Elephas maximus indicus: one gene and its partner. The protein of the gene in region 1 interacts with the protein of each later gene in a biochemical or structural test. Links are inferred from orthologs where the notes say so. Each region holds a gene or a part of one and is shown on either strand. Other genes may lie near its edges.

Region 1 (16,226 bases):
CTGGGTTCCCTGAACATCTTGGCTCCATCCTTCAGCACCCCCTCCCTCACCATATCCTGACTCCTTGGACCCCCTTCCCAGCCCCTACTGGGCAGCAGATGGGGAAGAGGACATTTTGCCAGCTCTGAGCCCCTAGAGCTGTTCCAGGGTAGGGGGAAGCCTAGCATCCCAGGAATTAGACTCCCCCTAGCCCAGCCCTCCAACCTACTGTCAGTTTAGGATTGGGAGGGGTTGGGATGACCCCCAAGATTTGTGGGCACGAAGGGGTGTAGCTGAGCCTGCAGGGAGGAACTGTAAATCTCCAGCCTCTCTGAGCTGTCTAAGAGCAGGGGACGGGGGGAGGAGCCTGGAAGGCCCTCCAGCTACTGGCCTCCCTCCTCCTTCCTCCCTGCTTAGCAACCGTCACCCAGTAAATATTTGCCCCACCAGGATCTGGGGCTGGAGCCCAGGCATCAGCCAGGGCAGCTGCCCCCTCCTCAATTCCTGGGGCTCGCCTGTGCCTACTCCCCACTTTGAATCCCCCTGGCCTCAACTCCAGCTGTGATTACCCTCCTACCCTGAATCTCAAAGTTCAGTTCTTCCTGCCTCATGGTAGACTTCCTTCGCCACCTCCACCTGTTCCCACTAGGACCTCTCCTTTTGTCCCCAGCTCATGAGGGCTCAACTCTCTCTGGTCCATCCTCTACCCCTGGATCCACTAAGGTATCTGAGTGACGCCCCACCCCTAAGCCAGACAGGTCATCTGTCTCTCCCCACCACAACCTGCTCAGACCCCAGGCTGCTATGATTCCTGGTACATCACCGGTACTTACTGAGGCCCAGGACCCTACCCACAGCCCCAGGAGAAGGGGAAGAGGGGATGTGGGATATTTTGCTGGACACCTTGTCCTCCCTCCCCAGGCCAGGAAGTTCCTTGTCAGGAAGCCAGCACCATTTTCACCTCCTCTGGGGGTACAATTGAGGGGACCGTGGCCAAGAGGAAACAGATGCCCCTTGGCCTCATCCTGGGCAGCCTGAGAAGGCCAGGGCCTGAGAAGCACGCCATCCTCAGCCTCTGCATCCTGCTCCTCCCAGCAAGGCCTCCTGCCACCCCAACCCCCCGCCGGGTGGTTTCCCCCATTACCTATCACTGTGATGATGACCCTCAGGGGTCAAGGGCCAAAGCAAGGTGAACTCTTGGGGTGCCCTGTAAACTTTGGGCTTAGTGGGCAAAGTGGGCCAATGCATGCTCCTCTAGGGTGGGTCTGTGGGCTCGTTTAGGGGCAGGGAATCTGGAGGATCGGACTAATGTAGGTCTAGAAATGAGGGGGTTGGGCTGCATGATGCCTGCCAGAAGTCTTCTCCCAGCTCTGAAGTTCTAGCTTTTAGGCAGTGAATGACAAGGTATTAGCCCAAGCCCAGCCCCTCCCCCCTCCCACAGAGCATCCCTCCAGAGCTCCTGATCTTGACAGAGACCCTACCCATCCACCTGACCCACTTGGGCAGCCCTGGGATAACCAAGGGCATATACAACGGTGGCCATCAGTCGGAATCGACTCAACGGCAACTGGTTTTACTCATAACCACTGCTCGAGAAAGCACCGTTTGTCCACCACACTCATCAGAAATCTGCAGCTTCACCACCCTCCTTGCTGTATCCACTTTCCTACTTGATCCCCTGGCCTGAATGTCAGGGGAGAGCCTTCAAAGGGGACCCCGAGGAGCTTGGTGGTTGCAGGGGCTGGGACAAGAGCAGATTCACCATAAAGCTAATGAAGGTGAAGCTTCAAGTCCCCTTCGTTGCACAGGCCTTTCCAAAGCCCTGGGAGGAGTCTGCTGTTGTTTCCACATGGTCATATGTCTGTGTAAAATTCGTGAGATTTTTTTTTTTTCTTTTAAAGAGGGCCTCCCCTCAAAACTGTATAAGCTTCAGGTAGGGTGACCAACTGTCCGGTTTGCTCTGGACTGTCCCAGTTTTAGTACTGAAAAGTTCTTTGCCCTGGGAAGCCCCTCAAGGCCTGGGCAAACCCGCCACTCTAGCTTAAGGTCTCCACAAACCTGGATAGGGGTGAGGGAGAAAGGGGGCCCTTCTCAGCCTCACTTTCTGGAAGTGTATTGGGGGCGAGGGGGCTCTTCTCTCCAGCTCCAGCCCTGGATTTGTGGCGCTTCTGTTTGTTTCCTTGGCAACAGGGAAAGGAAACCCCCATTTAGGAAGCTGGGGAGGCCCCAGCAACCACACACACAGACACATACAGACACACACGCAGCCGCCCACACGCAGGCGCCTGCGTCAGCACCAGCCGTCAGCGCTGCCCGCCTCCCGGAGAGGCGGCCAGCCCCGCCTGAGCCCGATTCAGACCAGACCGGCCCTAAATGATCCTCCACCTGACCCCGCCCACGCCGCCGGTGCCCCGCCCCTTCCCAGCCCTGCCTAACCCTGGAGGTGAGGGGTCAAAGCTGGAGGAGGGTGGAGAGGAGACAGGAAGGAGAAAATGCCACTGCTCAATTTCGTCCTGCCCGCTGCCTGATTTCTTTTTGGCTGGTTCATAGTCTGATGTGTATCATGACAGTCAACCGAAGTTCAGGGAGCCTGGGACACAGGGGAGTGGCTATCTTGGCCCAGGTGGGTGAGGTGGGTGGTTTGGAATGTCGGGAACTGACTTCATGGGCAGATTCTAAGATTTTGCTGTTGGATTGGGCTCCTTGGGATCTGGGCTGAAGAGAGCTTGGGAGATAGTTAACTTGGAGGCAAAAACCTGAGGTTTGGGTCCTGGCTCTGTCACTTGTCAGCTGTGTGGCCTTGAGCAAATCAGTTAATATGTCCAGCCTCAATCTCCTCATCTGTAAAATGAGGATAATGGTGCACCTCAAAGAGATTTGAGAGAATTACGGTGATCTCAATTATGAAAGGGTAGCCAACAGTGAGACCTGCCCAGGTGTGAGGTGTCAACAGTGAGACTTGCTGGGGTGTGAGGTGTGAGGAGTTGGTTCCATACCCATTATCCAGCTGCTCATTCCAGCAGAGCTGGAGCAAAGAAGGAAAACAGCCCCACTCTGGTTCCGCACCTGGCCTGTCCGCATCAGAGGGACATCAGTGCTGGTCCTTTGGGGTGCCTTCATACCTCAAAATCTGTCTGGGGTGCCATCTCATCTCCTGGGGTAGTGTGGGATGGGGTTGGAGCACTATTTTAGGGGGCCTGGCCCTGCCTGGTCATGTGACTTGGGGAAATTTTTCCCCTTCAGGCCTCAGAAGCCTACCTATAGAGAGAAGGGGTTATTCCTCAGAGCCCTGGGAGACTCCTGGAGGGGGATCACCAGACAGAGGTCCCCCAACCTCCCTCCTAGGGAGGCTGTACCTGTCATTTAGAATATTGGGTTTTTTTTTTTTTTTTAAATCATGAGGGCTTTTTTGAGTGAGGTTCTGTGGCCTAAAAGAATGGCTGTAAATCACTTGCTCCTTCTAAGGACTAGTTTTAGTTATCTAGTGCTAATGTAATAGAAATACCACCAGTGGATGGCTTGAACACAGAAATTTATTTCCTCACAGTTAGGAGGCTAGAAGTCCGAATTCAGGGTGCTGGCTCTAGGGGAACTCTTTCTCTCTCTGTCGGCTCTGGAGGAGGGTCCTTGTCTCTGTGAGCTTCTGCTCCTGGGAGATCTTCATGTGGCCTGGCATCTCTTTTCCCCCATCTCTGCTCTCTGGTTTAATCTCTTTTATATCTCAAAAGAGATTGACTCAAAATACACTAATCCTGCCTCATTAACAAAGACAACCTATTCTCAAATGGGATTATAACCACAAGCATAGAGGTTAGGATTTACAATACATACTTTTGGGGACTTGGGTTGGGTTAATTCAATCCATAACAGGCTTCCTCCCACCCCCAATCAGCTATGACCCTACTAGGACATGGAACCAGTTCATTCTAGCTGGAAACCCTGCTAAGAATTTGCATTTGTATCAAGCTCCTAGGCGATGCTAATGCTGCTGGCTAGGGACCAATTCTCAAAACCACTAGTAGAGCCCAGTCCAAACCAAACCCACTGCCATGGAGTCAATTCCAACTCATAGCGACCCCATAGGGTTTCCAAGACAGTAAATCTCTACAGAAGCAGACTGCCACATCTTTCTCCCAAGGATCCCTCGGTGGTTTTGAACCGCCACCCTTTTGGTTAGCAGTCAATCACTTTAACCACTGTGCCACCAATGCTCCTAGTAGAGCCGCGGTTCTCAAAATTTATTATACATAAGAATCACCTGGGGATCTTGTTAAACTGTAGATTCTGATGCAGTATATCTAGGGTGGGAATAGAAATTCTCAGCAGTGGTTCCAGTCCACACGGGACAAAGGCCACAGTCTCCTCAGCTGTGCTGTTGTTGTTGGACTCATAGGCCGACTCACAGCCCTGTGTGCAACAGAATGAAACACTTCTGGGTCCTGTGCCATCCTAACACTCAGCCGTGTTACCTCAGGCCAATCACTCAACCTCTTTGAGTTTTGGGTTCTTGGCATATAAAATGCAGATGATAATACCTACCTCATAAAGTTGAGGTGAAAATTAAATGGGATCACCTCCACACAGTCCTTAGCCTGGTGCCTAGCACAAGGTAGTGGCTTCTTTAGAACAGGCAAGTTCTTCCATGCTCAAGGTTATAACTATCACCTGTGCCTGAGTGACTCGGCTGTTCAATAGCTGTTTAGTGCCAGACCCTGTGTTCAAAGGATGAATAAGTTAAGAACCCTCCCTCAAGAAACGCTAAAGGAATTGCTAAGCCATGGCCTTGGGTCTCTAAATCACCCCCACTCTCCAGAACCTCCTCCAAAGAGTCACCCCTTCCCACCCCCATGGAGGAGTAGAACTGCCTCCCCAATGGCTTAGGATCCCGTCTGAATGCTCCTCTCTCCCACTCCCACCTGTCCAGTATTACAGCCTGACAATTCCAGTTCTGCTACTATCCATATGACCTTAGGCCAGTGGTTCTCAACCAGGGGCCATTTTATCTCCCCTCCCTAGGGACATTTGTCAATGTCTGAAGACATTTTTGATTGTCATAACTGGGGGCGGAGTCACTTAGTGGCATTTAATGGGTAGAGAGGCCAGGGATGCTGCTAAACACCCTGCAATGCACCGAACAGCTCAGCTCAACAAAGAATTATTTGGTCCTTTTTTTTTTTTAAATGTCAGTGGTGCCAAGGTTGGGAAATCCTGCCTTAAATGATTTCAGTTTTCTCATCTGTAAAATGGGGATAATAGTAGTATCCATTTGCTAGAGTTATTATGTAAATTCAGAAGATTATGCAAACACCCAGTGCCTACCAACAGTCCATAAATATTCCCTAGAATAATTGTTATTAGGATTCCTCTGAAACCTTCCTGGTTTCATCCCCCTGTTGAGACTCAGCCCAGTTTAGCTTGTCTTGCCAATACCAATGCCTCTGACTCTTTCCTTACTGGTCTTGATGCCTCCCTTCTCCTTTTGACCCCAAGCCCTACCACGCAGCTAGAATTTTCTGGCTCAGAGCCCATCCCAGTACCAGAGCTCTTCTCAGCTCCCTGCCTCCACCTCCCACTTCTCTTCCCGTAGTCTCCGACCTCACCTCCCTGCTCTTGCCAACTTCAGCAACTCTACACAGACTTCCTCCCAGCACCAGTCCACACCGCGCATCTCTCATGCTGCCAGCCAAAGTGGCCTAAGATAGTGAAGCACACCCTAGATTTGGACCAGGCTATCCGGTTTCTAGTCCAAGCTCTGAGCTCTGGCTATTACTTACTGTCTAGTCTTGGGAAAGCAAGCCTCACCTTTAAAACAGGGAAGTAACCTCCAGCCCATGAAGGGGTTTTGTGGACCAAGTTAGAGAATGTATTTGAAAATGTACAACTATAAACGGCATAAAAGTATGATTCGCTGTTTGAGAGCATTGCCCTGCTTTATATTTTTATTTCCATAGCACTTAACCACCTTCTAACAAACTGTAAATTTGTATCTTTTGTTTATGGGCTCCACTAGAATATCAGCTCCATGAGGCAGGGATATTGGTCTGTTTTATTCACTGCTGTTTCCCCAGTGTCTAGAACAGTGCCTGGCATGTAGTAAGTGTTCAATAAGTGTTTGTTAAATGACTGAATTCACTGTGTATACAGCACCTCTGTAGAGTCCCTAGATCTCTCTTTTCCAAGAAGCCTTCCTTTAAATGCATTTTACCTTATTTAATCATTACAACACTCCCATTTTACAGATGAGGAAACTGAGGCTGAAAGAAGTGAGTCTTGCTTAGAATCACTCTTCCTGAAAAGTAGCAGGGCCAGATGCATTTGTTCATCCAAGAATCACTGAGCATCTGTTGTGTGCCGGGCACTGGCCAGATGTTGGGGTCACAGATGACCAAGACTTGGGCCTTTCTGTCCCTCAAAGAGCTCATCTTTGAAGGGGGGGATGTAGAGGGAGGCCCAGAATGCTATAGGAGCACAAAAGAAAGGCCTCCACCAAGATCATTGGCCTCTAAGACAGGTGCCCCTTCCCTCCCCAAGCCATCCCCTGGTCTTCACCCACCATATCCTGAGATCACTCATTAACTCTCCAGGCCCCAGCCTCCTGGGGTTCATTTAGAATTTATTATCCAATTCAGTGCCCTATGCTACTCTTTGTGCTTGTTGGTTTTGCCTCTCCCTGTCTTTTTTTTTTTTTTTTTCAGTCTACCCTACCCGTGGGCAGCTTCCTCGAGGGCCAGTGTAGCATCGCTGTACCCTGTCCACCCTCTGCACACTGAGGAGCTCTGTCCTCATGTGTCTAGTAGACTTTCTGGCCATGTTACACATGAGCAACCAAGGCCCAGAGAATTCAGTAGCTGGTCTGGCATCACGCAGCAAGAGAGAGGTAGGTTTGGAACCTGGTTGCCACCCAGGAACAATTCCCCTCCACCCTCACCCCAGCAGACCCAGCCCTGTGGGACCTGATCTCTTCTGCTCTCCTGGGAAAGCAAACAGATAGCATTTGGGGGGCCAGGGTTAGGATGAAATGTTCAGGAACAAAGGCCCACTTTGAAGTTCAAATTAGGAATTGATGCCATTGTGGTGGGAGGGAAGGCCTTTTGGAAAGAGCCCAGAGTGAAATTTGGGGTGAAAGCCCTGTTCCTTTCTCCTGCCCCTTCTCCCCAAAGATGAGGTGGTCCAGGATAGGAAGAGTTAAGTGTGGTTTTGCCTTCCCAGCCAAGAGGGGAAGCCAGGCCACTGGGTGGGGCGGAGGGGGGGCTCGGTGCCAGGGAGGGGCTGAGGCAGCGGGAACAGCACGAGCCGTCCCCTCACGTTTCTCTGGCTCAGCCACCCTGCCTCTGCTCTTGGTTTGGGGAACAGGAGAGGGAGAAGCAGAACAAGGCTTTTTGTTTTGTCTGGGAAGCTGAGGGTGGGGTGCTGCACCCTGGGGGAGAGGGCTGCAGGGAGGGGAGTCATGTCCTGAGTCCCAGAGGTGGGTGCTTACCCCACTGGCCAGTCACCCTCACAGAGATGGGGACCTAGGCACCCCCTCCCATCAGTCCCTCCCTGAACAGAGTCCCTGCCTTAATCCCACTACTGCCCCTTGTGCACTTTGAAGCCTGGCTCCAGAACCCAGAACTGAGGAGCTGCCCAGCCCTGCTTCCCCTGTCTATTACAGAAATCCTGCTATCTGGGAGCTGTAGGAGTTAGCAACATAATTTAATTTCCTGGGTTCCTCATCAGAGAATAAACTGTGAGAGGCATCAGGCGGGTCAGGCAGGCAGATGGGTCCTCGAGCCTCAGCACTGACACCTCTTAGAGTGGATTAGGTGGCTGGTGGGGTCAGGGCCAGGATTAGGGGGGGGAGCAGGAGGCTGGTCAGAGGGTCCTTGGTGAGGCCCAAGGCTCCAAGGCCAGGAAGTCTGGGGTCCTGGGTGCTCCTGTCATGTAAGAGTCCTGGTTCCCTCCCCAGAGCCAGCTGCAAATCAAACCTGGCCAAGAGGAGTGTAGTGAGGGAGTGCTGGCCTTTGTAGCCAGTGAGGCTGTGGGTTCTTGGCTATCCCTAACCCCCTCCTTTCTGGCTGGAACTGGGATGAAGACCCAACATTGGCTGCCCACGCCCTGGCCCTGCTCCCCCTTTTAGGCCCCTCTGGGAACCACAAAAATCTGGGACCTGGTGTCCTGGCAACATGATGAGCGCACGCACAGCTCTGGTATCTGTTTTAAATTATCCATTAAAATAAGTACAGTTCTGGAAAAAAATAAGTACAGTCCTGGAGTTGGCTGGGTGGGGTGAGGAGCAGAAAGGGACTGAAAGGGGGAGAAACCTAGGCATCCTATTTTCCAACTGCTTGGGACCAAAGGAAGGGGGCAGGAGATGGGGGGTGCAGATGCCTGGGTCCTATTCTTGGCCTTCTCTGGGAAACTGGGCTTGGGTGTAAGACCCAACACTTGGTTTCGAAGGGAATAAATTCAGACAGAAGATAGGAGAAAACCCAAAAAACCCATTGCTGTCCAGTCGATTCTGATTCATAGCGACCCTATACGACAGAGTAGAACTGCCCCATAGGGTTTCCAAGGCTGTAATCTTTATGAAAGCAGACTGCCACATCTTTCTCCCAGAGCCGCTGGTAGGTTCGAACTACCAACCTTTCCGTTAGCAATGGAGCTCTTGTGCCATCAGAGCTCCTTGAAGATGGGGTAAAGGGACCCCCAATTCCTGATTCTACCCCAAGACTGAGGGGGTAAAGGAACTCAGGACCCAGAACTTCGCTGTCCCCCGGGGGAACCCCGGCATTCTTTCTCCACCCCACCCCTGGCATGCCGAGATGCAGCTTTGAATGGGCTGCCCACGTGCGGAGGGGGAGTAGGGGTGACTCACTGTTACTACGGGGAGGGAAGGGGGGGAGAGGGAAGGGGGAGCCTGTGGTGGAAGCAGGGTGAGTCACCCTGCTAGCCACCAGCCTCCTCCCTCCCCCCACTTTCCTGTAGCCCAGCCTGCCCGCCTGGACCCCTCCCTTTGCTTTACAACTGGTTCCCCCTTCCCCCTGCCCTTTGCCCACCCACTCTCATCCCTTGGCTCTGCCCTCTACCCCAGAAGGCAGAGGGAGTCGGGGAAAGCTTGGAGCTAGGAGGACTGAGTAGGCAGGAACCAAGACGCAGGAGCTTCAGCGAAGTCCTAGGCAGAAGGCAGTGCGCGGGAGAGGGTGGGGCCCGTCTCCGCCCCCGTCCCCCAGGTCCTCTCAGCTCTTCGCCGATCCCACCCGGCCCCTGTGGGTATGTGACGGCCCCTTTAAGAACAGTGGCCACTCCTCCTTTTCCATAGACCTATTAGAGCCTTTGCCCCGGCGTCAGTGACTCAGAGAGTTCGCGGGAGCACTGCATCTGCACTAGCCAACCCGGATCCCGAAGTCCGACAGCGCCCGGCCCAGATCACCACGCCTGCCAGGAGCAAGCCCAGAGCCAACCGGCCGGCGCGCTCCGACCCCGAGCAGTCTCTGTCCTTCAGCCCGAGCCCCGCGCCCTTCTCGGGACCCCTGCCCCTAGGGCAGCGCTGCCATCCTGCCGGCCATGGAGACTCCGTCCCAACGGCGCGCCACCCGCAGTGGGGCGCAGGCCAGCTCCACCCCGCTGTCGCCCACTCGCATTACCCGGCTGCAGGAGAAGGAAGACCTTCAGGAGCTCAATGATCGCCTGGCGGTATACATCGACCGTGTGCGCTCACTGGAGACGGAGAACGCAGGGCTGCGCCTTCGCATCACCGAGTCCGAGGAGGTGGTCAGCCGCGAGGTGTCCGGCATCAAGGCCGCCTATGAGGCCGAGCTTGGAGATGCCCGCAAGACCCTCGACTCGGTGGCCAAGGAGCGCGCCCGCCTGCAGCTGGAGCTGAGCAAAGTGCGAGAGGAGTTTAAGGAGCTCAAAGCGCGGTGAGTGCGCCCAGGTGGCAGCTTGCCGGGCCCGGAGCAGAGAGGGCAGGCGGAGCGGCGCCCTTGCCGGGCTACAGGAAGGGAGCGAGAGTGCTTTGGGAGGCTGATAAGTTTGCCATATAGTCTCCTCCCTCCCCGGAACTGCCCCAGGCGAGGGACTGGCGGTGCCAAGGAGAATAGTTGTCATAGGACAGAGAGGGAAGGGGTCTCTGGGAGAGGGTGGGAAATACAAGGAACAGTGGGAGCATCCGGGCCAAATAGGGGCTCGTGGCAGGCGGCATTCCGTTAGGGTGGGGTTTGCCTGCCATTTGGAGCCTGGGGGAGAAGCTTGGTCAAAGCAGAACTGGCCCTGCTAGGTATGAAAAATCTAGGCACCCAGGGCACACTGGAGTGGGTGAGAGGGCCCTATTAGAACTTTCTTGGCAGCCTTGGCACTATGCCAGATTTGGGCAAGCTGGCTCTGAGCACGTGATGCACACTAAGACAGAACTCCCAGGCTGGCAGATGTCCAGTGGTGCTGGAGAGAGGTCACAAGGCAGGGTGACCCCCTTCTTCCCCTCCAGGGGCGTGGCAGTGGCCTCCTTGGCATGACCCTTTCCTGAATTCTTGCTAAGAGTCAGAAGCTCTTTCTTACTCCCTACATGCCTGAGACCTTTCCTGAGCTCTGACAGGCCCACCAAAGGGCTCCAGGAGTGCAGCTCCCCCGCAGCTCCCACAGCCCTTGGCCTGCTTGGCCCAGGAATGCAAGGGAGGGAGGGAGACCGAGGGCAGAGGCTCCAGGCTCAGGAAGTTGTGTTATGCCCAGGTCTGGTGGCACCCCCCCCACCTTGGTCGTCTTGCCTGGTGTCTGCAGAGGGTCAGGCCTCTATCCCTCCCTCTCCCTCCCTGTCTGAGTGAGCCACTTTCATTTTCCCAGCCAAGCCCGAGCAGTCTTTGCTCTTGGTCTGGCCCATCCTCTCAGCCGCTGACGTTTTTGATCTTTGCCTTATTAAACTGCTGGAATACAGTGACATTTTTGAAATCCAGCCGTTGGAAGCTTCAGGCCACTCCCACCTCACCCAGTCCTGCCCCACCCTACCACACCCTACTCCACTCTACCCTTTGGAAGCCTGGAAGTTTAGGCCCTCTTCTTCCAGCCCCCCAAGAATTTGGTTTCCTTCTCCCTGCTCCCCTTTCCTCTATGAAGACCCAGGCCTAGAGATCCCAGGAGGGCCTGTGGGTTTTGACCTCCCCTCTCCCTCCGCATCATTTTCTCCAAACTCCTGCTCCTTCCAGATCCCCTCTATGTATTCTATGGTTGTTCTACCCCTTCACCACCCCTGACCCTTCACTACACTCTGCTCAGAGGTATAGTGGGTGTGACCAGATCCTATCACCCTTCTAATGAGTGGAAGGAAGTTCCTTGGGGAGACATGGGTTCAACCTGTTGAAAGAGATCACTCCTATCTTTTTTCCCTACTAATATGAACAACTTAGCAGGACAAACTGGAGGCAAACAAGGTGTGTCCCTACCCGCACTGGACTGGTTGGAAGAATTAAGAGAATTAGTGCTCTAAACTAGTCCACTCAACTGCCTAGGCAGCCCCTTGCCTTCCAGATTCTTATGAAGGACATCTTTAGCAGATGTTTTTCTTGAGAAGACATTGATCTGGCCCACAGGATGAGCAGCGTCTATAGTCTCTTGCTAACTCAGCCACACCGGTCTGTCTCTTTTGCCTTCTGGTGCAGCTGTCCAGGCTTGGGACACCAGGCGGGTGTGTGTGCACGTGGGGCAGAGGCGGGGGTGGTGTGTGTACTTGTTATATTTAGCCACCTGCCTCTCTTCTCCCCCACTGATCCTGACTGGGCTTCCGGGAAAGGGGGGCGGGTGGTGCACACCTGGATCCCAGGCTGATGGGAAGTAGGGGTGAAGGGACGAAGGGGGCTTGGACTGGAGTGCCTGTCCCCTTTTATGTCTCCAGTAGGAGGAGCCAGGATTTGGTCCTCCCTTTTGCGCCTGCTGTCCTCAGGGTGGGGTGGAGAAGTGGGTAGAATGAAGAGTTTGGGAGAGGAAGAAAGGTATTGCCTCAATCCCTCCCACTGAAGCTTGGAGAGAAGGTGTTGTCTGGTTTAATGTTTAATTAGAGCTCAGAGTTCAGGGTCAGGCTTGGAGTTGGGATGCAGAGCTGCCTGTAAGACCCTGTAGCAATCCCTGGCCCAGGCTGGGTACCTTGACCACACCCAGGAGTTTGGGGCTTCCTTTTGCTGGGCTAGGTTATAAGCTTCCCGCAGAAGGCCCTCCTTCCCTCCCCCCACCCACCCAACCACACACACACACTCTTTTTACCCTGGAGCCTGAAAGATTTGGATACCCAAGTGCAGGGAGAATGGGAAGGTTGAGAGTGATAGGGAAGGCCCGTCTGGGGGTCCAGGCTGGGAGCTGGGCCCCACCCCAGGTAGGACAGCTGAGTGGATGACTCAGATGCTGCCTCCTCCTTCCTACCCTGGTGGCTTTTCAAGAGACAGGGTGGACATAGCAGATGTCTTAAAGGAGGGGATGGAGATCTGAATGTGTTAGTGTTCTATGCCCCTTCCTACTGCATCTTGGGGTCCTTTTCCTCTGGTGATGTTCTAGAATCAGGGTTCTGGACAGGCAATATGCACAAGTGGTTCTAGAGTTGAGTCCAGAGTTATGGGCTTGGGCTGTAGGGGTTGCTGGGGTTGCCAGGGTCTGTGCCTTCCCATACGGAACTGACCAAGGAAGCCTGAGTCACAAGTAGGGTGATCCCAAGCCCACAAAGCAGAAGTACCTCTTCCCCCCGGACAGGGCTCTGGTGCTTGATGACTTCCTGGATTGTCCACCTTATGCAGCCTCACTGAGAGGTGCAGGCTCTGATAGGACAAGGATAGCAAAGGCCACAGAGGTTTGTCCCATATCACACACAGCAAGTGGATAACAGGCCAGGACTTGAGCCCAGGCCTTCTGACTCCCAGCCAAGTACTCTTACCATTAAACCTCACTTCTCTAGCTTAAGGGATAGGTCAAAGGGCTCTGAGGGTGGGGGCTAGAGGCCCAGCCCCTGGGTTCTGAGCTTCACTCCTGAGGCCTGGAGTTTCTGCTCTGGGACCTGTGATGCCTCGATGCTCTGCTCTCCTGCCAGGGCCTGTTAGCACTTGATCAACAGCCCTTGCCCCAGCCTGTACCTGGAAAGACCTGTGTCCCTGCCAGATCATGCATGGTGAGATCGAGCTCTGGGAGGCTACAGGAGGCTGGGGATTCCTGTCTTGAGATTGTCTTGAGACTCGTCATGAGCATTGTCTACCCAGAACAGAAGGAGATTATACACTTTGGCAGAGACATTAGGAGAATGGGGTAGGGGCCTTTGGGTAGCCCTGGGCCCCAGCCCTCATCTGAGGGTACCTCTTGGTTTTACCTTTCCCATCTCCCTGCCCTGAAGTCCATGTTTTGATCTAAGGGAAAGAAGAAGGTACAACTAAACCTGGGGACCGAGAAGTACTTAAGGAGCCCGGGAGAAACAAAAGAAAGAAAAATTTCTCAGTAGGGTCCTGATTGCCTTCCCATGAACAATGCCCTTGGTTAGTACTTCTCCTGGCCTCCAGGAGCCTGAGATCCTGACTCAAATGAGAAGTATCCATTAACCTCACTCCCAGCCCCTCCCCCAGTGATCCAGTAGCTCAGTGTCAGGCTGAGCCAGGGACAGCTGCAGGGACAACTGGTAAGAGATGCATTCACCTACCAGCTGTACCCGCTGTTCTCTTCCTCTTCAGCCGCTTACCACCTCCAGCAGCTGCAGCAGCCAAGACCAAGCCTGGCTCAGAAGCTAGACCCAAGGGAAGTTCATCCCATTCCCACCCCTTTGGATTCCTAGTACTGAAGGTGACACAGGCTGAGCCTGGACATGTCTAGAGAGAGGGTTTTTGGAGAGGTTGTAGGGTCTCCTATCCCTTAACAAGAGCCAAGGTAATCCACCAACAAATTGCCAGGCAGGGGGGGTAGTAGAAACAGCCCTGACCCTCAGTGTTCTTAGTTCTAGACTTGATTTTGCCACTAAATTGCTGTGTGACCTTGAGCAAATCACCTCCCCTCTCTGGATTTCCCCAGCTATAAAAGAAAAGGGTTAGAGCAGAAGGTCTCCAGAGATTTCTCAGGTTCCAAAGTAGTACAATGACCCACAAAATGAGAAAACCATCTTCTAAAATGCCAAACTATTAATATGCAAATAAAATACAATTAACATGAAAATAATAGCTAATGCTACTCTCAGTAGAAGTATTTTTCCCACAAGCTGTGGAATTAAAAGTACTATCACCCTTCACTATTTCCCAAAGAAGGTTTATTAGAAATGGTTAATTGTTATGACATTAGCCTCTTGGCTTCTGCTTTTGTTGTTATTGCTAGTTGGGAATAACAATTAGTTTCCAATGCCTCCCCTTCAGGACAGAGGGAAGGGCTGTATCATGTAGCAGGAAAACAAGACAGTAGACCCAGGAATGACTCCCATCGGCCTATGTTGGGGGCAAGACTGGAGGCCCTAAGAAAGTTAGGACTGTTACCTTAGAGTTGGCCAGGTTTACGTAGACACCATGTGTCTGGAGCCAGAGGGAGATACCGGTGACCTTGAACTGCCCCTCTTCCATCCTTCCTGTACCCATACTGGCTCTCCCAACCTGAGGCTGAGCTGTGAGGGGTTTTGGCCCTTACCAGTCTCTTAAGGAAGAGGACAGAGCTTGGGAAACATGCAGGAGGCTCCCTCCTGTCCCTTTGTGGGAGAGGGAGCCGGAATCCCGCCTGCCCAAGCCAGGAATAATTCTGGCTGGGCTCCCGGGCACGGCAGGGGAGCTGAGTCACGGTACAGGACAGAATGGATGGGAGACCCTGAGCTTGTCTAGTCAGGAAAGGCAAGCCTGAGGGGTGGCCTTTTCTTGAGAACTACATTCGAGTTGCCGCAAGAGGGATGAGGATCTGTGTCTGATGGGGGGAAAAAATGCAAGGCAAACAGGAATCATGAGTCCTTTTAGGGTCAGCTCAAGGGAGCCAGAGACTCTTCTTTTCAGGGGATCCAGTTTCTGGGCATTTTTGAGAAGGCTGGTTGTGACTGCCAGGGCTCCCCCTTCCTCCCAAAGTTCTGACGCTGCCACCCTCTGCCGGCTGGGAGAGAGGCTTACATGTTCCCAGGCTGGAGCTGGAATGCAGTGGGACCAGGACTCCTAGATTCCCCACCACTACCACCACCTGCCCTCCACCCCCCGCCCCCCTGCCCTGCTTCCTTTCCTGACCTGGGGTGCGGCTCTCACCCCTTCCCAGTACTGTTAGGGTTAATTACTGTGAGCCACCAGATGGAAGGTTAATGAGTCCTAAGAAGGGACTGCTGAGTTAGCTCATGTGGGGATCCCCCTAAAGGTCCCTCCCTTTAGCCCGTGGCCTCCTTCCTTCCCTCAGGACATTCTACCTTCTTAGGCCATCCCCTCCCACCCCTCCACACCCCACCTCCCCACCTCACCCCCACTTCTTTTGGTCTGTCTCCTTGTCCCCCGCATTTTTATGACAACACAGGAATGACTTCTGGAGAGATAGGCCGGGAAGACTGAAAGTGGGTTTTGGCAGGGGACCGCACAGGGGATGGTTGATCAGAAAGCCAGCTGCCTGTTGTCCAGGACCCCAGTGCCCTGGCCTCCAGCCCCAGGCTTCTCCTGCCTCTGTACAATGCCACGTTAATACACCCAGCAGCTGTGACTCAGGCCTGGCCCCCTGCCAGGCCAAGTGCCTCTGCTCCTGGGAGTTGCATTGCATTGAGTCTGGACATGTAAACAGCTCCTATCCTCCATTTCAGCGCCAGTTCCCCCTGCCCCCCCACCCCAGCCCCTCTCTCTGCCTGGAATCAAGACTTTGCTTTGTCTGGGGGGAAGAGGGGACAGCTGGGAGCCTGGTGGCTCTGGAAGGGGATCTGAGGGGCCTTAGACCCCGGGCATGTTTGGCAGGTGTCACACCCAAGACAGGAGGAAGCAGGGCCATGCCTGCCGCGGGGTGTATATGCCTGTTTCGGAGGGTGACTGGGTGCGGTCCATACTGGGGGGCCTGCCATATTCTTTCCAGGTGAGGTGCAAGAGACATTCAGGACTTCATAGGGTGGGATTTAGGAAAGGCTCAGGTCCCTGGACCACCTGAGCCCCTCCGTTCCTCTCTTCAAATTCTCCTTTCCAGAGAGGGCTGTGGCCATGAACTCCAAAGTGGAGAAGTCTGGGGAAGAGAGGGGATTGTGGCTAAGGACCAGATATTCCAACCTTCTCACATCCTGCCCTTACCTGCAAGTGATCGCAGGCCCACAGACAAGTCAAACCAAGCAGTGG
Region 2 (15,764 bases), on another chromosome or scaffold:
GCGGCCGCCGCGCCTTTGTTCTGAGGCCCGCGCGGGCTGGCCGGGGCCGGCAAGGCGTGGGGCGGTCCGGGGGCGCGCGCGGAGCCCTCACCAATGGACACGAGCTTGATGCTCTCGCGGTCCAGGAACTCGAGCGCCACCGACACGTTCTCGAGCTGCATCTGGCGGAAGGTGGGCCGCTGGTTGTGCTTGCGGTGCATCTTCTTCTGGCTGAGCACCTCGAGCAGCGCGATGAGCCGCAGCCCATCGCTCAGGTCCGTCTGCAGGTTGGCTATGCGCTTGCTCACGCACTTGAGGTGCTCGTTGCACCAGCGCGTGAACGTGTTCTGTTGGATCTTCTTCCACGGCGCGTCCTCCGCCAGGTCCTTCTCGGTGGCCGGCATCTCGGAGTCCCGACTGTCAGCGCCGCCTCCCAGAGCCGCGACCGCCGCGCTCTGGCCCGCCCGGGCGTGCGAGCTACTCATTTTGAGGCGCGAGGAGCCGGGGGGCGGTGCTGCAGCCTCGGCGAGGGGACGGCCCTTTAATTAAAGTTGCAGGCACCCAGGAGCGCGCAGGCCGAGGCCGACAGCAGAGGCTGGGCTGCGGAGAGAGCGAGCCCTTTAAAAGCGGGTGGTGGGCGGGACCGGGGGGGTGGAGCTTTGACGGGGCGGGGACGCGGGGCGGGGCTTCCCGGGCCGCGCCCGTCCCGCCCCGCCCGTCGGGATGCCCACCCCCGTGGCCCTTAACCTGCCGGTCTCCTCGGCAGCAGCCGTGGGACCCCCTGGGCCCATGGGAGGGTCGCAGGGCCGGACAGACGGAGGATGCGCCCTGGCCCCGCGGCCTGGCGCTCGCGCTCAGGGAAACACGCTCGGGGCCCCAGGGCGAGGAAAGGCTGAGCAGCGTTGGGCACGGAATGGCTGGGCCTCTGCATCCACGGCAAACAAGGGACTTTCCTTCCTGGCCCCCGGGGATGGGGTGGCGCGAGTTCCCGCAGTCACGTGGGGCTTAGGCACCTGGGTTCCCCGCCCGGGTCCCTGCCTCCCCGGGTCTCTGCACCCCTCCGCGGCAGAGGCGGATTAACCAGTAAGCAAGGTAAGCACGGGCTTAATTGTGTTTACTTACTAAACTGTAGTGCACAATTTCACAATATGCGAAAAACAAGTGAAATTCTGCACCACGGATTAGTAAGTAAGCACAAGTAAACCTGTGCGTACCTTGCTTATGGGGTAACCTGCTCCCAGGCTTAAGGCCTGGGTGCCCAGTAAAAGGCCTAGTCTGCCCAGCAGACACTCCAGCAGCATCTGCCGGAGCCGGGGCGGGGCGGGGGGAGCTGGGGCCAGGCTCTCTTCAAGCCCTCTGCGTGGAGAACACGAGGGAGTCACGGCTGGTCGGCGGCCCAGCCCACAGGCCAGCCACCTCCCAGGCCCCTGTCCCCGCTGGCCTGGCGAGTCTGCCGGCCCCTGGCCTCTGCACCTGTGCTGCCCGCTGCCCACGGCCCTCTGCCTGCCTTCCTGCCCGCCCGAGGAGGAAATGGGGCATTGGGCCAGGAGGGCAGTGGCAGGCGCTCCAGGAGTTCCCAGCCAACCCTGTAAGGGGCCAGGAGTGCCAATGAGCGCTGGCAAAGGACAAGGCGTGATGCGAGTGGGGACAGTGAGCCAGCCCACCGCACCACACCACCCACCTGGGGGACCAGATGGGGAGGAGGGGGAGGTTTGCTCTCCTGGTGGAATGACCCCTGAGCTGAGTGCCCCCCAGGAGGGATGGGGGTAGCCTTCCAGAACCAGAGGGGCCTGCTGGGGGAGGGGAGCCTCAAAGAAGACTTGGCAGGCTGTAAGCACTGGGGTGTGAGCGGCTTTGGGCAGTGTGGCACTGCAGGGGTGGCCAAAGGAGAGGGAAGCCAGGGCAAATGTGGGGGCTGAGGAGGGCCTGCCGAGGTGCTGGGACTATGGCCCAAGGGCAGTGGGGAGTTCTTTTCTGGCTGATAACTCTGGAGACTGTGGGGAGGCCCTGGGAAGACAGGGACCGGCAAAGCCCAGGGCATCCTGTGCAATCACAACACATCCCCTTCTCTTATGTATTTTTTTCCGGAAAGGCATGTCTATGGCCCTACTGCTCGATTCTTCGATGGAGGCACAGGCTAGTAGTAATTCCTTTCTCTGCTAAGACCAGTGGGAGAAGGAGGCCTGGGTCCTCCAACAAGTCATGCCCAAATATGGTTGATTCTTACTTGGCCCTGGGTGTCTGCGTGACCTGCAGTGGGGCTGGGATCTCCAGCCAGCATCTCTTCAGCCTCCCAGCATATCTCTTTCCGGTTGTCTGTCACCCCACTGAGTTTTCTCCACCAACGGTGGTGGCAGGGGGTCCAGATGGCATTTTCCAGTACTGAGGTCCACCCTCAAATGCTCTGCCCCTCTCCTGAACACTCTCAGACACCTGTAGAAAATTTCCCATCCACCGTGTCTGAGGGCTGGGGTGTAGGAGGGAGGGAAAGCTGTAAAGGGGCACCCAGATGAACCCCTCCCTGCCAGGCCACGGGTTTAGAGTCGTTCTTCTGGTCATCTTCCCCCTCCCCTGCTTCCAACTGGAAAACAGGCTCCAGGGATGGCAATCAAGAATTGATTCTGTGTCCACTAAGTGCCATCCAAAGGGACCATCTGTGTTCATTCCTTAACCTTCAAACAGAGGGCAGGGAAACTGAGTCAGAGCAACTATCCAGTGGTCAGCTTCAGCAAACAAGGGGACATAAGTTGGATGTCCTGGCTTCCAGCCCTAGGCTTTCCCTATTTGGAGAGAGGGAGGGGTGGGAGTGTAGAGGGTCCTTGCACCCAGAAGACAGAGTATCACCACCAGATGGCGCTCCATCTCAAAGCCCCCAGATCGGGCAGTCTGGGGAAGCCAAAATCCAGCTCTTTCATATTTTCCCTTATTTGGAGTAGATTCTTGGATGTTAGGCACACCCAGCCCCCACCCCAACCCTGGCCCTCAGACCCCAGGCCTGGCTCTCCAGCTATAGCCCCTAGTGCAGAGGCTGTTCAGCTGGGACGCCTATGGAGCCAGCTGGTTCTAGGCCTGTGTAGCCAGGGAGCACTGGGAGGGAGAGGAACAGCCAACTGGCACAATGAAAAGAGGCCTGGGCTGGCACAGCGAGTCTAGGTGAGGCAGGGGAAGGCGCCCATTTCCTGAGCACCCTTCTCTGTGCCCACCTTGGTTGTGCCACCCAAAGCACCACATACAAACGGGACAGTCAGCTGACTTCACCCACTTCTCCTGGCCCCAGTGGCATGGGAATCTGGGGCCAGAGCTACTCACATCCTGGCTGGCAGGGAACATCCAACTCAAAGCCAACCTGGGATGAGCCCAGCCAGTGAATCTGGCCTGGCGGTGCCTGGCCACACCCCACCACAGCTCCATAGAGCCACAGAGCGCAAAAGCCCAGGAACCAGCTTCCCATGCCCTGGCAGCTGGTGCCCTGTGGACTCGTGCCCTCCCAGCAGGCACACTAGCTACAAGGTGTCCTTCCAGGTGTCCACTCACCCTCAACCCACACAGGGTCCTACCCTCTGGGTCCTTCCTTCTCAGACAGCCTTGAAGCAGCAGTCTCATGGACACCCACGCCTGCACCCATCTCCTACCAAACGTTCAGGGACTCCCATGGCCTTGGGCTCCCAGACTCCTGACGCACACACCGGCTGGTGGGTAAACTCGGGGAAGCTGCTCCCGGGCACCACTCCTGGTGTCCTGCTGACGCACCCCAGCTCCACCTGGTCCGGGCCTGGGCGCGTGCTGGCGCCTGCGTTCTCTAAGCTTCTCCGCCCGCCTTGCCACCCTCGCCCCGGTGCAGCGCGGCGCCTGTCCGCGCGGAGCCCGGCCTCCAAGATCTTACCTGCTGTCCCAGCGGGCGGCCGGCGACCGCGGGGTGGCGCCTGGCTCGTTTTCGCGCCCGTGCCCGGCACCTCCTGGCTCCGCTGGCGTCCGCTGTGCGCCGCGCGCTTCCACGCGAATGGCCCGCTGCCGCCCGCCTTCTTGTTGGCCTCACCCCCGCCCCGCGCCCGCCCCGCGCACGGCCCGGCCCGGCCGGGCGAGAAAGCCTTAATTGGTAAAAATCGCCCAGGAATCGGGGGCGGGGGTGAGCGGCGAGCTCGAGCGCCTGGGCCGCACTGGCGACACCGCCCCCCGGGATGAGCTCACCACCCGGCGAGGGCCGCCAGCACGGGCGTGGGGGGACGTCCCGAGCTCCCGCAGGGTCGGCAGGGACCACACCGGCTTGCTGAGCTTGGGGGGGCCAAGCACTCCCCACCGGAAAAGGCCCAGCTCTGAGGCCACCTCGTCCAGGAAGTCCCCCAGAGCCATGGCCCCCTGCATGAGGCCTGCCTCTGCCCCAACCCTGGGCTGGCAAAGCAAGTCGGTTTCCGCTGCCCTGGTGGATGGGGAGGGGGGCAACAGGCAGGTGCAGGTGTTCACTGAGCACCTACTACCTGCAAGGCTCCAGTGGGGCTGGACTAGAGTGACTCTGAGGCCAGGATGAGCCTTATGAATCTGACCCCGCTGGGTGCCAGGCGTGGCCTGGAGTGGGCAGCTGAAGCATATTGGATTCTGAAGACTTCCCCCGGCCCATCCCACCTGATTAGATGCAGTCCCCAAGCCTGGGAATGAGCAGCCTGTCTGTGATCAGAGTGGGCACAGCCACACCCTGGCATAGCCATGCTCCTTCCTGTTCTGTGTGCCTGTGCTTGCCTGATAGCTTCAGATGTAAATCAAATGTCACTTCCTTGGGGAAGGTCACGTAAAACAGTATTTTTTAACATGTTTGCCCACAAACTGCAGTAAGAACCACATTTTACATCCTTAGCCAATGTATGTGCGCACACACACACACAAACTGAATGAAACAAAATGACTTGCAAAACGAGAGTTTCCCTTACTACCTACAAAGCACTCTGATATTTTCTATTCTACTCTACTTCCTCAGAAAAGGAGAAAGGAAGGGAGGAAGGGAGAAAAGAAGGGAGGGAGGAAGGAAGGAAGGGAGAAATGGGGAAGGAAGGAGGAAGGTCGGAAAGAAAAAAGGGAGGAAGGGGGAAGGAGGGAAAGAAGTGAGGAAGGAAGGAGGGGAGGAAGGAAAGGGGAAAGATAGGAAGGAAGGGAGAAAATGGGGAAGGAGGAAAGGAAGGATAGAAGGAAAGAAGGAAGGGAGGATAGAAGGAAAAAAGGATGGCAGGAAGAGGGGAAGAAACGGACAACAGGGAGGGAGGGTGTAAGGAACGAAATAGTTCAGGCACCACCTGCTGAATTAAGTTGCTGATTTACAGTTTGGGAAGCACTGATAAAGAGGCACTGATGGCCCTACTGGTCTTGCTGTCTTGGCTAGCTCTGCTTTCAAAGACCTTTCACACCTTGACCCTTACTGGGTGCTTTCTAACAGTGCCAGGGGTTCCCTCTCCTCCTGCCCCCTCTGGTGGGAGCGCCCCCAGCTGGGGAGGGCAGTGGGTTATCTTCACATGATAGGTGAGGGACCTGGACTTGGAGATGGGAACTCACAGACCGAGGAGGGGGCTGTGCTGGGGCTCACAGCCAAGGCGGTCCGTGGTTCATCAAGGAGGGAAACCACATGCCTTTCTGCAGCTGCGCTCCAAGCCAGGGGTACAATAGGTGGAGGGAGCACTAAGGAGGCAGTGGTTTCTTAGCAGTGTTCGGGACTGCCACCTCCGTGTGAAATCAACTACTGCCCCTCTCCCCCACCACACACACAAAACACATGCAGCAGCTCTGTCTCTTCTTTCAGGTCTGGGCGGAATAAATGTTTGTACAGCACCAGGTGTCCTTCGGTTGAAGATACAGGGAAACTACCAAAGTCAGCTGCATTCCTCCCACCAGTCATCCCAACAGTACCAAGATAAACTGACCTGTTCCAAGGTTGGAACACAACACTTTCCTTGAGAGACCTTTAGTCAACTAACCAGTGTTTTAATATTGGTTGTGACAGTGTTCAACATATCAATTGTCTCGCAACTTTTGTAACCATTGGAGCAATGTTTCAAAACATTTGAAAACTAGTTAAAACCCAAAGGAGCTTTAATACCCTTGAAGAGAAAAGTGTCTTTTAGCACTAAAAAAAAATCCTTATCTTAAAGAGAAACTTAGTAGCTCAGTGATCAATGGTTTGCTTGTACATGGATGCTGAGAAATGTATTTATGGTGATATATTTTTCTCCATTTTAACTTCTGATCTTGCTGGGATTCCAAGTTGTACAATCCACTGTTTAGAAGCCATTCTCCATCCTTAAAGGAGAGACTCATTTTTCTTATTCTTGCCTTAGAATCGCGGCTTCCACAGCCCATTACCCCCGCTGCACTGGCTGCTTTTTGTGACCTCTGTCTGCAATCCCTTTTCCAATTGTCCACCAGAGAAATTTGTCTTTTTCAAGGCTCAGTTCCAGTGTCTCCTTTGCCTGTCCTTCCCAGGACCAGCTCCTGGGAACAGTTTTCCCTCCTTGAGAGCTCTGAGGCTGGGCCGTGGAGCACCAGATGCTGGCTGAAGAAATGTTTCATGAATGAACTATTGGACTCGAGGTTCCGGACCCCACTCTATGTGATGGAGGTGCAGAGGGCATCCTAGCTCGGATGGTCAAGGCCTGACCTAGTGTCTGGTGGTCTGGGATGGAGCTGCACGGCCATGGGTGACCATCCACAGTTCAGCTTCCTGGTGCCCTCTGTGGCGGGACCTCATAGTGAGGACAAAAGGGGGGGGGACATAGGAGGCAGAGTGCTGAGGCAGGTGCAAGGGGGTGGTGTTCCCTGGGGAGAAGGCAAACCTAGAATTCCTTGACCTCATAAGGAAACAGCTTGCATCAGTATGGGGAGGGGTGGCACGGGGGAAGACTGAGCAGGCTGTAAGGGAAGCCAGAACCAGCATCTCTGGGAGAGGGGCCAGCATTGCAGAAAGGCTGAGAGGGGCTGGGATCTGATCTTGCCAAAACTCAAGATTCCACGAGGCTGCCTTTGCCCAGCTCACAGCCCAAACGGCCACCTCCTCCCCTGCCCAGCCCATGGCTCTCCCCTCTGTATAGGGCAATGTAGTGTCTTCAGGGACTCCAATGCTACTTGTCACAGTTGAGACAGAGCAGGGCCCCACCTTGATTCTAAAACTTGGGCAACAGCAACTCTTCGGAAGGGTCTTTGTCTTTGGTCAAACCATGGTCTCTCCTCTGGCCACTCCCCACGTGTATACCTCTTCCCCACCCTGAGCAAACCTCCCTGGAGAGCTGGTCTGCGGCCCGCACCAGCTGACCAGAGCCCCCTCTCTTTTCTTCTCCCCCCCACATGAGACTTGGGGCTAGCTCCTCTCATCCACTCCAGGGAGAGCCCACCAGGCAGCCCCACACTCCATGAGACTGGCTTTGTCTGAGCATGACTACCACCTCTTTCCTGCTCTCCAAGAGACAGCACTTTTCCTACCAAAGCCTTGCCTCCTCCTAGCCATACTCCACCTTACATCCACTGCCTGCCCTGGTTTGCTCCGCTCAGCCCCCATGTTTGCCCTGGCCTCTGTCTCCTTTGGCCACTCCTGCAGTGCCTGCATGTGAAAGCTGGACAGTGAATAAGGAAGACTGAAGAAGAGTTGACGCCTTTGAATTGTGGTGTTGGCGAAGAATATCGAATATACCATGGACTGCCAAAAGAACGAACAAATCTGTCTTGGAAGAAGTGCAGCCTAAATGGTCCTCAGAGGCAAGGATGGTGAGACTGCGTCTTACATACTTTGGACATGTCAGGAGGGATGAGTCCCTGGAGAAAGACATCATGCTTGGCAATGTACAGGGTCAGCGGAAAAGAGGAAGACCCTCAACGAGGTGGATTGACACAGTGGCTGCAACAATGAGCTCAAGCATAACAACGATTTTAAGGATGGTGCAGGACCAGGCAGTGTTTTGTTCTGTTGTGAATAGGGTCGCTATGGGTCGGAACCGACTCGACGGCACCTAACAACAACAACAGCAGTGCCACAGTACCCAAAGCCGCTCACACCCCAGTGCTCACAGCCTGCCAAGTCTTCTTTGAGGCTCCCCTCCCCCAGCAGGCCCCTCTGGTTCTGGAAGGCTACCCCCATCCCTCCTGGGGGGCACTCAGCTCAGGGGTCATTCCACCAGGAGAGCAAACCTCCCCCTCCTCCCCGTCTGGTCCCCCAGGTGGGTGGTGTGGTGCGGTGGGCTGGCTCACTGTCCCCACTCGCATCACGCCTTGTCCTTTGCCAGCGCTCATTGGCACTCCTGGCCCCTTACAAGGCTGGCTGGGAATTCCTGGAGCGCCTGCCGCTGCCCTCCTGGTCCAGTGCCCCATTTCCTCCTCAGGCGGGCGGGAAGGCAGGGAGAGGGTGGTGGGCAGCGGGCAGCACAGGTGCAGAGGCCAGGGGCCGGCAGACTCGCCAGGCCAGCGGGGACAGGGGCCTGGGAGGTGGCTGGCCTGTGGGCTGGGCCGCCGACCAGCCGTGACTCCCTCGTGTTCTCCACGCAGAGGGCTTGAAGAGAGCCTGGCCCTTACTGAGCACCCAGGCCCTGAAACCGGGAAGGGGTGCAGGGATCCGGGCGGGGGATCCAGGCGTCTCGGCCCCACGTGACTCGGGGGGTGCACCTCTTCCCGGACGCCCCGGCCCCGCCCCGCCCCGCCCCCACATCTCGGCCGGTTTCTGCCGGTTCGGCTTGCCCGCAGGGCCCGCCCCTCTACATCTAGTCAGAGCAAGGCAGCGCGTAACGTGTTTGTTCACCAGCCCCGCCCCTCTCCGGGCGCTCAGCCGCCCCGCTATAGGCCCTGGGGGCTTTTCAGCTGGGTGGCTTGTGTACAGGCTCCGCCCTTCTGTCACGTCTAGACCGACACCGAATACGCCAGCATATAACGTCGTCGTTCGCCAGCGCCGCCCGGCTCGCACCGCCCGGAGGATTTCCGCCGGTTAGGCTCGCTCACTAGGCCCCGCCCCTCCCTATGCCGTAGCCCGAACACGCCGGCGTCCGACTTCCTTGCTCGCTAGCCCCGCCCCTTTCCGGGGCGCGCAGCCCTTCCCCGTTCCCACTTCCAGACGTGTCTGAGCTGCTTCGGCAGACTCTCAGGTCCCGCCCCTCTGCCACCTCTAGCCCTATCCCGCTCCTTTTTGGCGTTATTGTTCACCAGCCCCGCCCCGCTCCGCAACCAAGTCCCGCCCGGTTCTGCCGCTTTGACTGGCGTGCGGGCCCCGCCCCCTCCTGCCTCTGGCCCAATCGCGCGCGTTTGTGACGTCTTGGTTCACCAGCCCAGCCCCGCGCCGCCTAGCTCCACGTCCAGACCGGTCTGCGCCGGCTGCGCTCTGGCGGCCTGTTCTCCCGCCGCGCGCGCATTCTCGGCGCCGGCGGTGCCCGCGGCCGTGACGTGATCGCGCGGCCGCTGCTCAGGCGCCCTCGCAGCCTCCTCCCCCGCCGCGCCCCGAGGCAGCCTTTGCTCAGCGTCGCCGGGCCGGCCTGCCCTCAGGCCTTCGCCGCTGCTCGGGCTCCGTGCCGGCAGCGCCATGGACGACTACGCGGTTCTGTCGGACGCGGAGCTGGTCGCCATGCTACGCCAGTACAACATCCCGCACGGACCCGTCGTGGGTACGCGGAGCAGCGGCGCGGGCGGGCGGCCGGGCGGGCGGCCGGGCGGGCGGCCACCTTCCGCGGCCCCGCGGCCCTGATCCGCCGCCACGCGCTCTGTGTTTGGCCAGGCTCCACTCGCAAGCTCTATGAGAAGAAGATCTTCGAGTACGAGACCCAGAGGCGGAGACTTTCGCCCCCGAACTCGTCCGCCTCCTCGTTCTCCTATGGGTTCTCGGGTGAGGGCCCCTCCGGTCCACCACCGGAGACCAGGGCGGACGGGGTCGCGAGGGTGTGGCAGGGGCACCAAGCGGGAGGCACCTGGCAGAAGGGAGAGGAAGTCCAAGGGCAAACGGTCCCGTTTCCCTCTCTCGATCGCACAGATTTGGATTCAACATCTGAGGACTCGGATAAGTACGATCTGCCCAAGAAAGAGGATGCCTTACTATACCAGAGCAAGGGTAAGACAGGTAGAGGAGGGGCGGGCCGCCACCTAACTTCTCTGTCATAGAGCCTGGTTTCGGGGAGAACCTGAGACTTCGACCCCCACCGCCCCTCACCAGCCCTAGAGGGGAGGAGATACGGTTGTCATAGACACGAAATGGGAGCAGGTTAGGGGGAGACAGATGCAATGCCAGCTCTGCCACCACTGCACCCCTCTCCCCAAGGCTCTAATGATGACTACTATGAGGAGAGCTACTTGCACACCAGGACTTATGGGGAGCCTGAGTCAGTGGGCACATCCAAGAACTTTCGGGAGCCCATGGCTTCGCTCTCAGATGCTGAAAGTTTTCGCCGTCAGGTGAGCTGGCCATTAGGTACCCCAGGCACCTTTGATGCAGGTAGAAACTGAGGTGACCAGATCTGGGTTTCGATCAACCAGTTGGGACTCCTGGGTGGAAGTGGTGGCTCCTTGCAGGTTCCCAGGGGCTCACAGGCCTCCGGGGAGAAGTAGGCTACACAGTGCCCTACTTTGGGCAAGGGGATCCCGAAACTGGAGCACACTTTAGCCCATGGTGCACCCTGGCCTGGGATCTAGGTTGGAACTCTGAGAGTCCTGGGGGAGGAAGGAGGGTACTAGGGCTTAGACAGCCAGGACAGTCACTGAGCAAGTGGCAAGGCCCCTTGGACAAAAGGCCAGGAGTCTAGGAAGGGTCTGGAGGGACAGAGTGGGCTGGCTGGGGGAATTTGGACTTGGGTGACGGGGTCCTGCCAGCCTTGCCAGCCAGTCTCCTCCCCCTCTCTTCTTTAGATGCGTGAAGACAATCTTTTCACTTCCGAAGAGGAGGGCAAGGATAGGTAAGTCGTTGAGCGTGGCCTATACTGACAGATGGCCAGGGATAAGGGCTGGTTCTGGTCACCAGCTCTCCTGGCCTACCTGCCTGCTCCCTCTTTTGCCTCAGGGAATGTCCCTCGTATGCCAGGGACAGTGCCTACCAGAGCATCGCGTACTACCGCCCCATCTCGAGCATCTCCAGGGGTACCCTGGGCCAACCCTATTATCCTACCACCTCCTCCACCTCCTCCACCTCCTCATCTTCATATTCTCCACCTTCGTGGCTCGCCCGCCGTGCCATCCGGCCAGAAAAGCAGGTCCCGGGAGCCAGTCTGAGTCAGGACCGCCAGGTCCCTCTCTGGGGCCAGTTGCTCCTGTTCGTGGTCTTTGCTGCCTTCCTAGTCTTCGTTTACTATTCGATGCAGGCAGAGGATGGCAACCCCTTCTAGGTGGATCCCTGAGGGCCTGGCCTCTGAGCCAGCCCTTCTCAGAAGTTCTGGCTCCACTGCCATAGTGTTCTGCTGGGGGCGGGGGGTGGGGCTAACCTGTGTGTTCCAGCTGGGCTGGGCCTGGCCCAGATCAGTGCTTTGACCCCTGCCTCATCCTGCCAGGGAGGCAGCAGGCCTTCCCCCAGAGCCTGCTTCTCTCTGCCTTTAGGGCTCTGGGCAGGCACAACCCTGCTCCTTCAGAGAATACTGTCGTTGTCACCATGCATGCCTCCTGTTCAGCATAACCTTCAGGGTGAGGGATTAGCGGAAGGCAGCCTGACTTGGTTTTTTGTGAACACACAATAAAAAGACTTTATTTTTAACGTGTTGGCTCTTTCTCTTTTGGGAGCGGGTCTGGCAGGGCCTCCAGGATCTTGGTGTGAAGGGTCGCTATCAGATGTTGGGTTCTGACTTGGTCTTGGGGCTGGGCTCGAATGCCGCCCAGGAGTACCGTACGTGTGTGTTTCGTCCCCCGGCTCATTCCCTCACGCCTCTATACTTATCCAGCCCTCCCGCACAAGATGTGTGGAGCACCCTCCTGGAAGTGCAAAGCTGGATGCACAAGGCTAGCTGTGGGCGGTTTATCTGGGCAAAGCAGACGCCAGCTTAAATGCCAAGGGCAGGACACGGGTGTCTCGCTGGGAGACTATCTCCCAGTTACTGGGAATGACTTGAGGAAAGGCTTGCATACTCTGAGGTGCCTCTTCCTCCCTAGGCAACAGGCCGTCACTTCTCTAGATTCTTACACTAATCCCAGGTTTTCCCCCATGGGTGTGAGTTTCACAGTTTTCAAAGTTTACCAATATTTTAACAGAGGGTGCTAAGGAAACCCAGACCAGAACTCCCACTTGATTCCCTGCACGTGGGCTCTGTGCTGCCATGACAGCAGAAAGGCACACAGGTGCTGCTGTCCAGTCCCCCGGGCTGGCCCTGAGGGGGTGGGTCCCTGGCATCCGCCCCTCTGGGTCTTTAATCAGCTCCTTGCTGTGGGCAGTGGGACTTGGCTGGCCCTGGGCCTGTCACCCGGGACAGCCCCCATGCAGCACCCACATGGGTACACCCACAGGCTCTGCACCTTCCGGGCTCCCGGCCTGTCTACAGCCACGTGGCAAGTTCATGGTAGAGGTGGGACTAGGACCCCTTCCTGGCTCCTGGTCATTTCTCTTTGCTGCATACTACTCGCTCCACATTTTTTGGTGCTCTTAAAAGTAATATGTGGTTATTGTACCTTGAAAACATGGAGAAAAAAATGAGAGACGTTAACTGCTGATAATTTTATGATCTCATGCAGCATCAACCTCTGTTTTGGCTCAACCTACTCCCACTGGCTCCTCCCCCAGTACCCAGCACCCACAGGTCAGATGTCCTGAGCCCGCAATGCAACGAACTGAATGGTGGCCCTGCATCCGGGGCTGAGACCTGGACTGTGTGGCAGGTGGTGGGCACAGGCCAGGAGTGCTATCTCCCTGGGCGTCCACAATGGGGACCTCGTGCCAGGCCTGCCTCTGATCAGTGAGCCATTTATGTGGGGTGGGGGCCCTGACCTGGGCACTGAGAGCACAGCTCCCTCTGTCTTGGCATCGGTGAGGAGGTGCACGCTAGTCCCCAAGCAAGTGTCTCTTGAAAGCAGGGACAAGCGAGGGAGTAAGCAGCCTAGCACAGTTCTCCGACCGTGGCACTGCTGGAGCCCAGCACTGGGCAGAGAGGAAGGAAGTGGAGCCTATGTGGACCCTGGGGTAGGTCGGCAAGGGTGACACCCCAAACCTCTGGAGTAGTTGTGTGTAAGAGGGACAGCAAGAGAAGAAGAGGAGTTGGGCTTGGGAAATTCCCAAGGCTGGGAGAGAGATTTCTGGGCTTCTGGAGGAAACAGCCCTCTCTAGGCCCCAGGTCCCCTGTGGTCAGACACGGGTGTAGAGCAGGGAGGGAGCAAACAGTCCCTGTCACTATGACCTAGTCTCCCCCTTAGTCATTCGTTCACTCTCTGAGGGCCCTGGGTGTCCATCCCCAGTTCCAGATGGAGGGCTCTTGGAGTCCCCAGAAAGCTCCTGAGTGTTCCGTGGCCCCCAAGAACCCTCCACCAGGGCTTTCTAGGGCTCTGCCTTCCCTCAAGGCTCCTCCCCCACCTGAGTAAGTACCTAGCTCCCTGGGTGAGCAGCTAGGTATTGAGGGCAGCAGGGACAGGGCCTGGCTGCTGTTGAGACTGTGCCCCTGGTCAGAGCAGGAATCTAGGAGTGGCACCCCCTGGGCTAGGAGTGGCACCCCTGGGCAAGGTGCCCGTGGGTTGAGGTGAGGGAGACCAAGCCCCCATTCAGGCACCTGTGGCCCCTCTCAGGCCAGCAGCCTCTGGTGGTGGACTGGGAAGGAGGGGAAGCCAGGCCCTGCTCTGCAGGGCCTCCTCCCCAGGGCTGCGGGACAGGGCCAGCATGGGCTGGCAGGCTTGTTGGACAGCCAGGGGAGAACAGTGGCTGATGGCCCAGGAACATGAAGTGCACCGGGCCTGACCCAGTCCAGGTGAACCCGGATGAGCTCAGGCTGCACCATGACCAGGCTCCCCAGAGAAGGGCCCAGTGAGCACTGCCCTGCCCTCCCCACGCAACCTGCTGTCCTTGGGCTTCAACAGTGCTGGGAGGGGTCGCCCAGGCCTCCATCACTGACCACCTGCTCCCTTGGCTGCCAGCCTGCCAACACCCCGCAGGAAAGCAGAGAGCCAAAGGGCATTGCCCTGTGACAAAGCTGCAGGTAAAGCTCTTCAGCCAAGTCAGAGCCCCCCCCCACGAGCATCAGCAGGAGGCTTCCCGAGTCCCAGCCCAGGATGGATTGAAGACACGTTTCCACGGAGCTGAGGACTGTGATGTCTGGCCCCTTGAAGAACACACTTGTCTGCCACGCCAGAAGCTGCAGGTGGTGAGGAAGGGCCTGGGCACAGCCGGCCCGGGCAGCCTAAGCAGGTGTTATAACCACATCACCATCACACATCACCGACTCAAGTTGGGTGGATAGTGACAGCATGTGACCTGCACTGAGGGCCCAGCTTGCCCAATGATGCCAAGGCAGCTGTCCTCAGCAGTGTCCAGACCAGAAGGGGTGGGTCTGTCTGGCTACTTGCTGGGGAGCCCTTGCCACCTCTGGGAGAGACACTGGTGTGCAGAGACAGGCACCCAGCACCAGTGCCAGGGACTGCCGTGTGGGACCATCCAGCAGCACAGGGTGGGGGGCAATGCGAACAGCCCCACCACCTGCAGCTCAGTTCTGCAGCTCTTTCCTGAAGCTGGCCCCAGCGAAGGTCTTGACCCAAACCAAGGCTGAATGAAATGGCCTTGGAAGGCTATGTTCCTGCTGAGCTCTGTGCCAACCAGAGCCCCAGGACCTGAAGCACCCTACACCCTTGCAGCTCCATCCGTCACCCCAGAAAGGAATGGTCCCCTCCTGCAAGGACCAAGGAAATGCTGGAAGGGTTCTCGCTATTCTGGGCCCCCAGGCCCCAGCCTGCCCCCCACCTCCCACCTCATGCCTGTGGTGGGAGGCACCGTGCATCCTGCCTTCAGGGGAACTCACCTTGTCCTGTTCCCCCAGGGTGTCCCGGGGAGGTGTGGAGGATCAGAGCAGAAGCCACCTCAGTCATTATCAGAGCCACTGAGCACTGTTGGCCACACAGCTAGGTGATGGCCCCTACTGGGGAGGTGAGGATAGGCCCTGGGGCAGACTGAATTTAAAGGCCAAAGTTGGTTCACAAAGAACAGAGCCCACAGGGCAGCAAATCAGGAGGCCGAGGGACTACACTACAGGCCCCACAACAACCCCAGAAGGCCTGGAGACCACTAGCCCCACCTCCCCCCATCCTGTGGGCATTTTCCAGCTCAACGTTTTGACACCCAATGCTTCACGGAAACTTGCCTTCAGGTTTCCCAAAGGGGATGCAGTCTGCGTTGGCAAGTGTATTCAAACATCATTGTAGCAACGCCAGAAGGAGTGTGAGCAGACGTCCAGGCTGCGAGTTCTTCCGGCAGAAGCCCAGAGAGAAAGTACACACAGCTCGGGGGCCCCCACAGTCTCTGTTGTGGATGCTTTGGTGGGTTTGTTTTCCAGCTGTGGAAAAGGAAACCACTCACCTTGGCCTCCTGTCCACAGGCCCTGACCATGTTGGCCCGGGGCTGTCGTCTGCTGGCCCTGCCTAGACAGAGGGAGGGCATGCCTGGGAAGTGGAGCTGCTCAGCATCAGGAGTGGCACATCCACAGCCTCATGAGCCAGCTGGGGTAATTTGTCACACAGCCACCAATAGCCAATACATGATTTCAAATAGGACAGCTGCTTTGAGGCCAAAGTAAATCAACCAATGAGAAACACCAGGGGCTATCAGAAGACCAGCAAGAAACATAAACCTAAATCCTCTGCCTGACCAAACATAAACCCCAAAACCACAAAGTCAA

What was found.
Region 2: the proteins of LMNA (region 1) and EMD form a complex in vitro, tested with the Homo sapiens proteins (4 studies listed by BioGRID and IntAct, with this or other methods). The link is inferred for Elephas maximus indicus from reciprocal best matches to the Homo sapiens genes LMNA and EMD.

Annotation. Positions count from the first base shown.
Region 1 is NC_064821.1:193,906,541-193,922,766, forward strand, and holds the start of LMNA (lamin), read left to right. Parts: upstream 1-9,281; 5' UTR 9,282-9,522; coding exon 9,523-9,878; intron 9,879-16,226.
Region 2 is NC_064846.1:2,090,888-2,106,651, forward strand, and holds EMD (emerin), read left to right. Parts: upstream 1-9,274; 5' UTR 9,275-9,511; coding exon 9,512-9,593; intron 9,594-9,703; coding exon 9,704-9,811; intron 9,812-9,955; coding exon 9,956-10,033; intron 10,034-10,240; coding exon 10,241-10,374; intron 10,375-10,824; coding exon 10,825-10,871; intron 10,872-10,975; coding exon 10,976-11,297; 3' UTR 11,298-11,637; downstream 11,638-15,764. Other genes in the region: FLNA (filamin-A), read right to left, coding at 92-464. UniProt on the Homo sapiens protein: Stabilizes and promotes the formation of a nuclear actin cortical network. Stimulates actin polymerization in vitro by binding and stabilizing the pointed end of growing filaments. Inhibits beta-catenin activity by preventing its accumulation in the nucleus.